Caenorhabditis elegans: one gene and its partners. The protein of the gene in region 3 purifies or fractionates together with the protein of the main gene of each other region. This does not show direct contact. Each region holds a gene or a part of one and is shown on either strand. Other genes may lie near its edges.

Region 1 (3,753 bases), on a different chromosome or scaffold from region 3:
CGAGCAGGCTGCTCTTACGAGTACTACTCTGATTTGTTCACTTGCAACGGCGACATGATTGCCGTCTATGTTCATGGAGTTGATGAAGCAAACCAAAAGTTCAGAAGACAAGAAATTGTCATCTGCAATGGTAATATACGCTTACTTGTTTAATTGTGCAAGAAATTTTTCAGGACGTAGCCCAACAACCAACCAGCCAGCAACAGGAACAATTGGCCCAATCACCATGCCAACTCAACAAACCGCGCTGACTCAAGGTCCAGTAACTCAGCAAACTCAAGTCCCAGGAACTCAACCAACTCAGGGACCAGTCGCCACGGTAAATTTCAAGTATTACTGGTGATTTAGAAATTCTGAACTTACAGACCCAAAATCCATACACATCCGCTCAGTTTGATGTTGTATTTATGATCGATGGATCACAAAGTGCACAATCCAGCTTTGACTCGGTATACATTATATGCCCTTTATGTTTCCATCATATGAATTTCAGCTCACCAAATTTGTTCAAACATTCATGGTTTCGTTCAATGTTGGCCAGAGTGGAGCTCGTGTTGGATTAATTGTCGTCGGAGGTGATATCACAAACCCAATTCCTCCTGCTGCCAATCTGAACTCCCTCTCCTCTCAAGCAATGTTGAACTCTAACTTGGCCCAACTCAGCGGTGGCTACACTGACTTTGAAGACGCCGGGCAAATTCTTAACTACACTCTTCAAATTGTGTCTTCTCCCGATTTCATGGCGGCGAACAATGGTTACCGTAGTGGCATTAGCAACCATGTGTTGATCTACCTTACTACAACTACTGCGTAAGTGTTCAAAAGATTGCCAGATAAAATTAATATTTTTTAGCTTCGACACCGATCCAACTCCGGCAGCTCAGACAATTCTCGCGCAGAAGCAATACGGAATCATCACTATTGGTTATGGTGGCGCGACTGATAACAACAAGTTGCAAACTATTTCCGGAGGAAGTGCTTGCTCGTTTACAGCTCCAGATTTTGCTAGTTTGAATAACCAAATTAAGACCATTCAGCAACTTATCCTCAATGCCAAGTAAGATATATAAGTGTGTTCATTAAGTGAAATGTTCTTATTTTCAGCGCCAATGGAGGTGTCTACTGTATCAACAACTAAGGCAGTCGACCCGGAAATCACTGAAATAATTTGAATTTTAATAAACTTATCATTATTTAACAATTTATGTGTTGGACCGAAAAATCAAAATTACGAGAGAAAAAATATAATACAAAAGTGAAATGTGATGGCAATTCAATAAACTTTACTAGTGGTTGAACTTCAAGTCGAAATCATCAGAAAGTGCTTGATAATAATTTGATGATACAAAATCGTATTCTGTGACATTATTCTGCTACTACTCAATTAGAATGCAAAGGGCGTGGAATAAATTTTAATACTGTTTGAGATGGCAAAGATAAGAGTTTGCCACGGTGATATGACGTGCCGGACACACTCTCCTTTTGCGATTAAAAAGGGTTTAAATCATTATTTCATGATAATTTCATTAGATTTGCCAGGCTGCTCCTGCCTTTTCACATTCATTTTCAGAACTCAATACCTTTTACGATATTTAGTTTTTTTGGAGTTTAAGAGCAATTAAATTAATGTGAAATTTCAGTAATGAGAAGCTGGGTTTTGATTGCGGCGTTAGCCGTGATCTGCCTGGGCGCTGAGCCTGAGCTCAGTCACAAAGAGAGAATCCGCAAAGTCTTAAAGTCATGGAACCCGGCCAACAGTAATCAACTCTTCCACCCAGTCAGTGAACAGAAGATTCAATTCGATGAGCAGTCCGATCTCTTTGTAAGTTCTAGATTTCGTTTAACTATGTTCCATATATGGTTTCAGGTTGATACTCATCATATCTCCAAAAGATCTATCGCCGAGCCTCATGTTTTTGCTGGAATGGCCACCAGAGGATGTAACAAGCCAGGATACACAGGAGCCACCTGTCAATATCGTAAGTCGGATCACATATGTGTTTTTAAACTAAAAATGCAATTTCTTAGCATTGTGCTCTGCTCGCAATCCTTACATTCCTGATAACAAGGATTCTGACGATATCTCTATTGATGCAACAAATCTTGCAAACTGCAGTCAAACATACGTCGTTGTTGTTGATGAGACCATGCGGAATATCAAAATTGAGGTCGAAACTGAGTCACCATTGAATCCAACTTTCTACCTCCAATCTGAGAGTGGAGATCTGATCTTCCCTGACACTGACAGAAAAACCGTAACTTCCTATGTGGCAACATATGAGACTTTAGCGCCAGGCCAGTATCTTCTCGGACCAAGAGCTGATTCTGGAGATGAATTTTGTACTATGATGATGACCGCTCATACCAATATTCAAGTTACTGGAGGTTTTACATCAGGCGATCAACCAGAGCGCAGCGACTATCCAACCCTCAAGTTTGCCTATTTTGACACTGAATCAGCTGTTGTTCTTCATGCACAAGGACTACACTTTCCCGGTCAAATTCAGGCGATTGGATTCACTGGCGCCGAGAACCATATCTCAAGATACATTCCTATGGCAACTCGCTTCAATTGTACTTATCCATATATTTTGGAGAGGTATACTTGCAGAAAAATTGGAAATAACGATATTGGGCACAATTTATTACAGGTAAGTGCAATGAATTGATATAAATTGCAATCATAAAAGTTCAGGTTGAAGGAATGAGCGATAACGGATACGTTTTCCGTCGTATTCTGCCCTACCAATGTATTTGTAAGTGAACGTAGTTGACAACAATAATCAACCTGAGTAATTTAGTGCCACCAGTGTCTACCACCACTGTCCCTGCTCCAACAACAACCGCTGCTCCATTGACAACCTGCCAGAACGGAGGTCAAGTTTTGAAGGATTCCAGTGGTTCACCATACTGTTACTGTTTTGGACTATACACCGGACGTGACTGTTCTCAGATGTTGTGTGCTAATGGAGGTGAATACTGTAACTAGAGCTGTTAAATAGAAAACGCTATGTTGCCATTGATGTGCTACATGGTTGATAACACAAAGACAACCTTCTAAAAAGGACACTTTTTTGAGCCAGCCTAAATTGGTCATCAAATATTTTATTTTTCAGGATTCCTTCCAACTCCCACAAGCGAACATTGTGAATGTCCAGAAGGATTCACCGGTTTCCACTGTCAAAATAGTAAGTCGCCTCGGAAAATAAACTGATCACAAATGCATTACAGTTGTCTGCCCTGGTGCATCCGGAATTGATTTCAATGCTGAAAACCCGACTGTTACTCTGGTCATTCGTTCTAGAAGCCAATTGTCAGATGTTATTCAACAGGCCACAAATTCAGTTTCAAGAATTGTCGATGAACTATCTGCCGAGCCTGGCTATCTCACTAATTTCATCGTTGTGCTCTTTGATAACGCCAGTGAGTTGATTTGCAACTAATTTACCGGGGTGGCTCCCATAAGCCTACCTTCTTATCAGGAAACGGTAATGCATTATATTTTAATTTTTAGAGCTTTTGGTAAACCAGAGATATGACTCATGGGATGCCGCTATGGTTGATCTACTTAAAGCGATTAACTCTGCCCCATCCGACGGTGGATGTGATGATGTTGTTTTCTCTGCTGTTGCGTAAGTATCGACTAGTTTTTCAATGTTTTACAGAATCTTCATGGTTGTTTTACAGATCTGCTCTTTCTCTTTATCCAACTAACAAATCACCAATCTATGTAATCACTGATGCCAATCCAAA
Region 2 (3,753 bases), 580 kb from region 3:
AATAAGAATTGTCGTGTCGAGACCGGAAACCATATTTTTGGCGTTATAATCGCCCTTTTTTTGCGTCAGGGTAACATATTTTGTCTGAAGATTAAAGGCGCAAAAGTCACGGCCCGAGAAGTGGTACCTGTACGCAATTTGTCTACCGTATACCTGGACGTTTGGGCGCGTGTATCTCAAAAACGGTTGGTCCAGTTTTTTTGTGATGCATATAAAAAATGTCCGAAATTAAATTCTAAATTTTTTGGACCAAAGCTTTTTTCGTTATCACGCGCCCAAACCTGGTCTACACTCAAATTATCAGTAGAGCGCATTTGCATGGATGTACCACTTGCCGGGCCGTGAAGTATATTATTCCGGGAATACATTCCGGGAAAAATTCCGAGGATGCGTATTGCGCAACAAAATTTGACGCGCAAAATATCTCGTAGCGAAAACTACAGTAATTCTTTAAATTACTACTGTAGCGCTGGCGTCGATTTACGGACACAATTTTCGATATGAAATTCGTTGCTTAATTTTAATATTCCATCGATAAATCTAATCGAAAATTTTCGAAAAAAAATTTTTTTTTTGAGAAAATCGAGCCCGTAAATCGACACAAGCGCTACAGTAGTCATTTAAAGAATTACTGTAGTTTTCGCTACGAGATATTTAGATAACAGTTTTACAGTACCCTATTGAAGGCGCATGTTCTTTTTAAAAATATTGAAATTTTAGATTAAAAAACTTGAGTTTTTTAATCTGATAATATTTTTTTTCAGTGTCCACCGATTGAGTCACGTGGTTCCAGCACATCATCATTTTCGACAACGCCATCTTCGTCTGCCTCGCCGCTTTCCATCAACCAACTTCTCAGTTCTTCGTTCTCTCAACCGCCGGCACCCCAACTGCCTGTGCCGCTGGCGTTCAACCCGTTCCAGCTAGCTCTCTATCAGTCTCTAGTTGCGAACAACACTCTCGCATTTCCCGTTTTTGGCGGTCCCCCGTCAATATTTCCGTTGCTTGTTCCGCCGCCGCAGCCCCAGCCGACTGTTGAGTCGATCGAATTGCTGAAAATTCTCCAAAATATGTTGGCAAAACAAAAGAAGTGATTGATTCATTTCGATTTTCTGTCATTCTTTTTCGGTGACAAACAATTTTCAATTTTTCACAATTTTCAACGCAGTTTTGTCATTTTTCCATCTTCTGTCGCCTTATCTCCCACCTAGATGTCATGATGTTGTTCGAAATAAAAATTAAATAAATATTTTTGTTTCGAAAAAAAATAAATCGATTGTTTTTCCAAAAATAAACAACAGTTTCCCCTTTCAAACAAACGAAAAGTGGGCGCGAGAATAAAGAGACACCACAAAAAATTGTTGCTAACGCGCTCCATTGCGAAGGTCTCGCAACGATTTGTGTTCAAAAAGACATGCGCCTTTGAGCCTGTTCAAATTGTAAATCAGCATTTTTTACTTTTTTCTTCTGTTTTCTGCCGCTTTTTTAAAAGGAAATTCATTATTTTTACATCAAAAAGCCAATATCCCAGATAAATTTCATTAAAAATGCTAAATAATGCGTTTCGAGTAATATTTTGTTGGAGAAAAACTGTGTTTTAGGATAGGCCGGTTTCACACATGTTTGTTGGTATAAAAATGTTATTTTTTGCTTGGGATTTCAAAATTAAAATTATATTTGTTAAGCGATAGGATTTTCCTTCACTTTCTTCTCTCTAGTCTCCATGACCGTATCGATTTCAATGTTTATTCTTTCAGATAGATCAAAATGGTTAGAAAGGACAGTGAAAGCAGCTGCTCCAGCGATGGAAGCCACACTCACGAGGACTACACTTTGGCCAACGACGCCGTCGTCACCAAGTACCAGGTTGCTGCTGAAATCACCAATGCTGTTCTGAAGGTGCGCTGCTATAGTTTGGATTTTGTGTGAAACTAAATTTTTGTTTTCAGGAGGTCCTCGCCAACATTAAGGAAGGAGCCATCGCTGGAGATCTTTGCGATCTCGGAGACAAGCTGATTCTCGAGAAAACTGGAAAACTCTACAAGAAGGAGAAGAACTTCACCAAGGGAATCGCCATGCCAACTTGCATTTCTATTGACAACTGCATTTGCCATTACACTCCGCTCAAGTCCGAAGCTCCAGTAGTGTTGAAGAATGGACAAGTCGTCAAAGTCGATCTCGGAACACACATCGATGGTCTCATCGCCACCGCCGCTCACACCGTTGTAGTTGGAGCTTCCAAGGACAACAAAGTAACCGGAAAGCTTGCCGATCTTCTCCGCGGAACCCATGATGCGCTCGAAATCGCCATTCGTTCCCTCCGTCCAGACACTGAGAATACCACCATCACAAAGAACATCGACAAGACCGCTGCCGAATTCGGACTTACCCCAATCGAGAACATGCTCTCCCACCAGCTCGAGAGAAACGAGATCGACGGAGAGAAGAAGATCATTCAAAACTCTGGAGAGAAGCAGAAGGGAGAAATCGAGAAGATCAAGATCGACAAGCACGAGGCTTACGCCATCGATATCCTCTTCTCCACCGGAAAAGGACAGCCAAAGGACATGGATACTCGTACCACCGTCTTCAGAAAGAACGAGCAAGTCAGCTACCAGCTCAAGATGAAGGCTTCTCGTGTCTTCTTCTCCGATGTCAACAAAGTGGTAAGTGTCATTTTATCGATATTAGTTTCAATTCAATAATTTAATATTTTTTAGCACGGACCAATGCCATTCTCTCTGCGCAGCTTCGAGGAGGAAGTCAAGGCAAAGATGGGAGTTGTCGAGTGCGAGAAATACGGACTCCTTGTTCCATATCCAGTAAGCACATCAATTTATCGTTTCGAATTCTAAAAAAAAACTATTTTAGGTGTTATACGAGAAGGAAGGAGAGCTCGTCGCTCAATTCAAGGCCACCGTTCTTGTTATGCCAAACGGACTCCTGAAGATTGCTGGACTCCCATTCGATTCGGACGTGTACCAATCTGATTTGACCGTCAAGGTAACATACTTTAACAATGTTTTTACAATTATCATTAATCTTTTTCAGGACCCGGAACTCCAAGCCGTCCTGAAATCCGCCCTCAAGCCAAAGAAGAAGAAGGAGGCCAAGAAGGACGAGCCAGCAGCCAAGAAAGCATAAACTCACCCTTTTCACTTTCTATTTATGATTGCCCTTTTGGACCTCTCTTTCCTACTATCCCCTATCTGCCTCTTTAATGGTATTTAAAATGCCGATGGTTTTCTGTCACTAATGATTTCCAAGGTTGAGACTGGGTTTTGTATTGGGTAAAAGCCGTAGTCTCAGAACTACGCTCATTTCACTGCTTTTAGTTTCTCTTCCCTGGTAGACAACAAAATCATTCTGTTAAAATCTCGATGTTAAACATTTCCACCTCTTCCCACTATTATCCTTTTTCTCTTTTCTTCCTTGTGTTCAATTATCATTATTATTTTTTGTTGGTTTATTCTCGGTTATGTCTGTGAGCCGTTTAATTCATCTATGATAGGAATCCGGTTGTTGATTTGGGATCACATTCACTTTATTGATGAAAAAAGCCTGATCATATACTTGTTCTCAGTTTCCCTTCCCAAACCCCCGTTAATTTTTTTTTCTCAGTTTGTGTCCAATAAATTGAAATCAGCAGCAGCAGCTTCTTTTGTGTAACTCGATTCATTAACATGCTCGTTAGTTGTATTGATGCTGAACTTTGAATTGCTCCGATGGGGGGAGACAGGCTCCTTGTTCCTG
Region 3 (3,753 bases):
GCCTGTGGGTGCTCGGTAGTGTACTTGACGACGAAAGTGCTGGACTGTCCTGGCGCAAGTTGGACGGTGTAGTCGAGAATCTTCTCCGGAGTGATGGCGGCTCCGACGGTTGGCTCGACGCTTGCCTCGTCGACTTCCACGGCTTCTGGGGTGTTGAGGTGGACCTGAAAAATGGGAAATTTAGGGGCTTTTTATGTATTCAATCTTTACCTTAATTCTAGAATCTGTGGATCTTGGCAACTGCTCGCGAATGGTGAGAAGCACCGAGTTGGGGCGAAGATTAGTGACGGCAGTGGTCTTCTCGGTGACCTGAGAGTTGATCTTCTCGACGGTTCCGCTCTGTTCCTGGTAGTTTCTGACAGGCTTGTACTCGATGCGGATGTTCGGGTCGACGCCCAACGACACCTCAAACTTTTGCGATACGACCGCATCTTCGAACTCGGTCTTGTTGACGAATGCTCCGTCGAGGAAGATCGATGCCTGACCGGCGACGAGTGGGTAGTCGGAGGTGTTGACCGAGTTGGCGACGAGGAACGCGGTGGCGTTACGGGATGGGACGGTAACGTTGGAGAGCTTGGTGTCGAGTGTGAATTGTCCGATGTTCACCTTGTACTCGTCGGTGCGATCGTCGATGGTGGCGGGGCGGCCAATGCTGAACTCGGAGGCAATGTTGCTGGACTTCACAGCCGCATAGGACATTTTCATGGATTTTCTACTTCTACCCATTTCCATCATCGGAGCCGCGCAGGCCATCACCACTGAATCCTGAGCGTAACCACCTCCATAACCTCCTCTTCCACCTCTGTTACATTCTGGTTCGGGCACAACAATCGATGCCTCGAGGGCTCCGAGCTTCGGAAGTTGCTTAACTCCGTGAGCGGGTCTTGCGGTTGACAACACCAATGGCACTGTCTTCCAGTCTTCTCCACTGTACTGACGGACCTTTCCGAAGTAGGTGACGTGCATCTCAGCTTCAACACCAGCAGTGACGCGGATGTCGTAGAACGGGGTCCAGGAGACGTTGTTCACTTGGTAGGTGATGGTGAGCTGTGCAGCACCACCGGCTTCTGACTCAACAATAATACTGGCATACTGAGCAGAGTTTCTCCATCTGTATCCGGTATTGTCGTAGTCTTGGCTAGCACGGGCGTACTCTTCCTCGGCCTTTCGCAGGTCTTGATCCAGGGTTCGGATCTGAGCGCGAAGATCCACTGTTGTGTCTTGATGGAATCCGTGGAGGGCGTTGAGACTTTCAATTGTGCGCCCGTCAAAATGGAAGGCGCCGTCCTTTCCGTGCTTGGCGACTTCGGTGATCAGATTGTCAAGTCCCTCGATGCGCTTCTGTACGGCAACTCGGCTATCGGCAACCTTGTCCTTGGCGCGTTCCTTTTCCTCGAAGATCGCCTTAATTGCGAGAACCCGCTCCGGGATCACAAACTCGGCACCCTCCTGGTTCTTGACGGAGACGTCGTGGATCACAGCTTCGCCGGCTCCGGAAACACGGATCGAGTCCTGGACGAGGTCGAATGGGAGGTTCTGAAAATTTTTTTATCACATTGTGTGAGTGTTTTTATGACTTTAACTTTGACAGGTAAGGTAAATATTGGAAATTTCGATGGTTTTGTTTGCTTAGCAGTAAAAAATGCAAAAAAAAATTATTTTTTCTCGTATTTTATAGCCCTTCACTCACCTGAACTTTAACCTCATTGTAGCCATGAGCCAACTCGACCTGGAAAGTTCTCTTGAGCTCAGCGCAGTTCGAGTCGGAGCTGTAGACGAGAGCCTGGTCGATGGCGACGTCATGGAGGGTGAGCTTGTGAGTTTGCACGATGTGAGCCATTTTTTCTGGAAATTTTGAGGTAAATTTCAAGGGAAAATTTGAAAAAGTGAGGCTAAGACGAGAGTTTAACAAATAAAATTCTACAAAACTGACTATTTTCTATTTTTTTTTCAACAAAAAAAAAACACAAGCAACTTCCGAATTTCTCCCAACACAAAAAAGAAACAAACAGAAATTGAAAGTGTTCATTTTTACGTAGATCAAAAATGTTCAAAATTAACTACGATTTTTTGAATTAAAATTTCATCTTGCAAAACACTGAAAAATCTAATTAGAAAATACAGAAATTGATATTTTCCAACAAAAAAAATCACGTAATTTTCAAATTTCGCACATTTTTTAAATGTTGCTAGAATACTGTGAAATACTACAAATTACAAATTTAAAAAATTGTTTCATGATAAAATTCCCGAAATTTCAAGTTTCGCAATAATATCCGAACTTTTTCGAAAAAAAAAAATTGAAAAATGTCATTACTTTCGCTCGTTTTAGACAAAAAATTTGCAAACTAGAGCTATTTATAAATGGAAATAAAGCTTTGAAGCTATTTTTCCCCGGAACTCACCAAAAATATAGGAAACTGCGATTTTGGCAGAAAATGTATTTGAAATAAAATGAAAAAAAAAATCGAATTCCCAATAATTTTTTTTGAGTAAAATACGATATTTCACGTATTTCGCAATCTTATTTTTCGTATGTTATTTCGAGAAGTTTTCTAGTTTTGAAAAAGCCTTAAAAAAGTAAAAATGTAAGAGAAAAAGCGGAAAGCAAAGCTCAAACGATCAGAAAACCATGGGAAACCCGAAAAAAAAATCTCCATAGAGATTTGAGGGAAACACTCCTCTCAACAACTAACAAATTGTGGCGTTTTGGCCGCTCTTTTATACGAGTTTTTGGCATTTCTTTCGCTGTCTCTCTATCTCTTCACAAGAGGCAGCAGACAACACAAGAAAAAGGTCAAAATCAAGCGATGGGCGGCATTCTGTTGTGTTCCGATGAGTTTCTCTCGGTTTTTTTTTCGAAACTGAGACGAGTTCAACCTTTGACCAAGTGGCGATGAGTTTTCGTACTTGCTGTGTTGGCGAAAAAAGATCCTGCGGAAGGAGCTGTAAAACTGGGAGCACAAATCACACTAGACTACTCAATAAAAATACGAATTTCACAAACTACAGAACCACAGCTTTTTTTTTGAAAATTTCAAGACAAATCTGTGGAAAATTGATTTTTAACCTGAAAAATAGAAAAGCTTGACAGTTTTCAATATACCAAATTACAAATGTTTGCTTTTTTTCAGGTATGAACATAAATTGGATATAGTTTTTCTTTTTTTTTTTAAATAGAAATTTCAACTATTTTTTGAAGAATTAATTTTAAAATCCAAAGAAAAATACATACGTAAATTCTTTTTAAAAATCTGAAATTATTTCCCAAACTTTTACGAACATTTTTGAAAATTTCTATAATTTTCTGAAGATTTCCCGCTTAACATTTCTAATTCCACCAAATCACTCAAAAATCAAAGGTCACCGCAACTAAATCGTGAATCAAAAGATCACTTCCTCGTCGTCTCCTCAGCAGTTTCGAAACACACATTTTGCAATACATCATGGTGTTGGAAATGTTTTTATGAGTCACTGGCGCAAGACAAACAAAACAATAAAAAACCGCGAGAAGAGACTTAGAACGTTAGAAATGTTTGAGGGCATGAAGTGCGCTCAACCGACCGGGGGCTCCAGTCACACCACCTCCCGGGTGAGCACCACTTCCGCAGAGGTAGAGGGACTCGATGGGCGTTGAGTAGTTGCTCCATTTGCTGATCGGGCGGGACACGTACAGCTGGTCAAGGCTCATAGATCCGTGGAAGATGTTCTGAAGCAAATTTTGAAAATTGAGCCTTAAAAATGGGACCTACC

Evidence for each region.
Region 1: the proteins of F37C4.5 (region 3) and hrg-11.2 fractionate together in Caenorhabditis elegans (co-fractionation; one large-scale study listed by BioGRID). This does not show direct contact.
Region 2: the proteins of F37C4.5 (region 3) and W08E12.7 fractionate together in Caenorhabditis elegans (co-fractionation; one large-scale study listed by BioGRID). This does not show direct contact.

What each region holds. Positions count from the first base shown.
Region 1 is NC_003284.9:3,233,296-3,237,048, reverse strand, and holds the start of hrg-11.2 (C-type LECtin), read left to right. Parts: upstream 1-1,640; 5' UTR 1,641-1,642; coding exon 1,643-1,822; intron 1,823-1,867; coding exon 1,868-1,979; intron 1,980-2,028; coding exon 2,029-2,651; intron 2,652-2,695; coding exon 2,696-2,756; intron 2,757-2,801; coding exon 2,802-2,972; intron 2,973-3,116; coding exon 3,117-3,188; intron 3,189-3,231; coding exon 3,232-3,423; intron 3,424-3,514; coding exon 3,515-3,632; intron 3,633-3,687; coding exon 3,688-3,753. Other genes in the region: Protein irg-7, read left to right, coding at 1-130, 174-319, 366-449, 494-810, 854-1,057, 1,105-1,138.
Region 2 is NC_003282.8:3,293,378-3,297,130, forward strand, and holds W08E12.7 (Peptidase M24 domain-containing protein), read left to right. Parts: upstream 1-1,757; 5' UTR 1,758-1,767; coding exon 1,768-1,899; intron 1,900-1,949; coding exon 1,950-2,666; intron 2,667-2,720; coding exon 2,721-2,822; intron 2,823-2,871; coding exon 2,872-3,003; intron 3,004-3,051; coding exon 3,052-3,144; 3' UTR 3,145-3,649; downstream 3,650-3,753. Other genes in the region: pugs-9 (Protein Upregulated in Glial Subsets), read left to right, coding at 765-1,094.
Region 3 is NC_003282.8:3,871,962-3,875,714, forward strand, and holds the start of F37C4.5 (Protein F37C4.5), read right to left. Parts: upstream 1,846-3,753; 5' UTR 1,841-1,845; coding exon 1,691-1,840; intron 1,537-1,690; coding exon 211-1,536; intron 165-210; coding exon 1-164. Other genes in the region: F37C4.6 (Pyridine nucleotide-disulfide oxidoreductase domain-containing protein 2), read right to left, coding at 3,527-3,709, 3,753-3,753.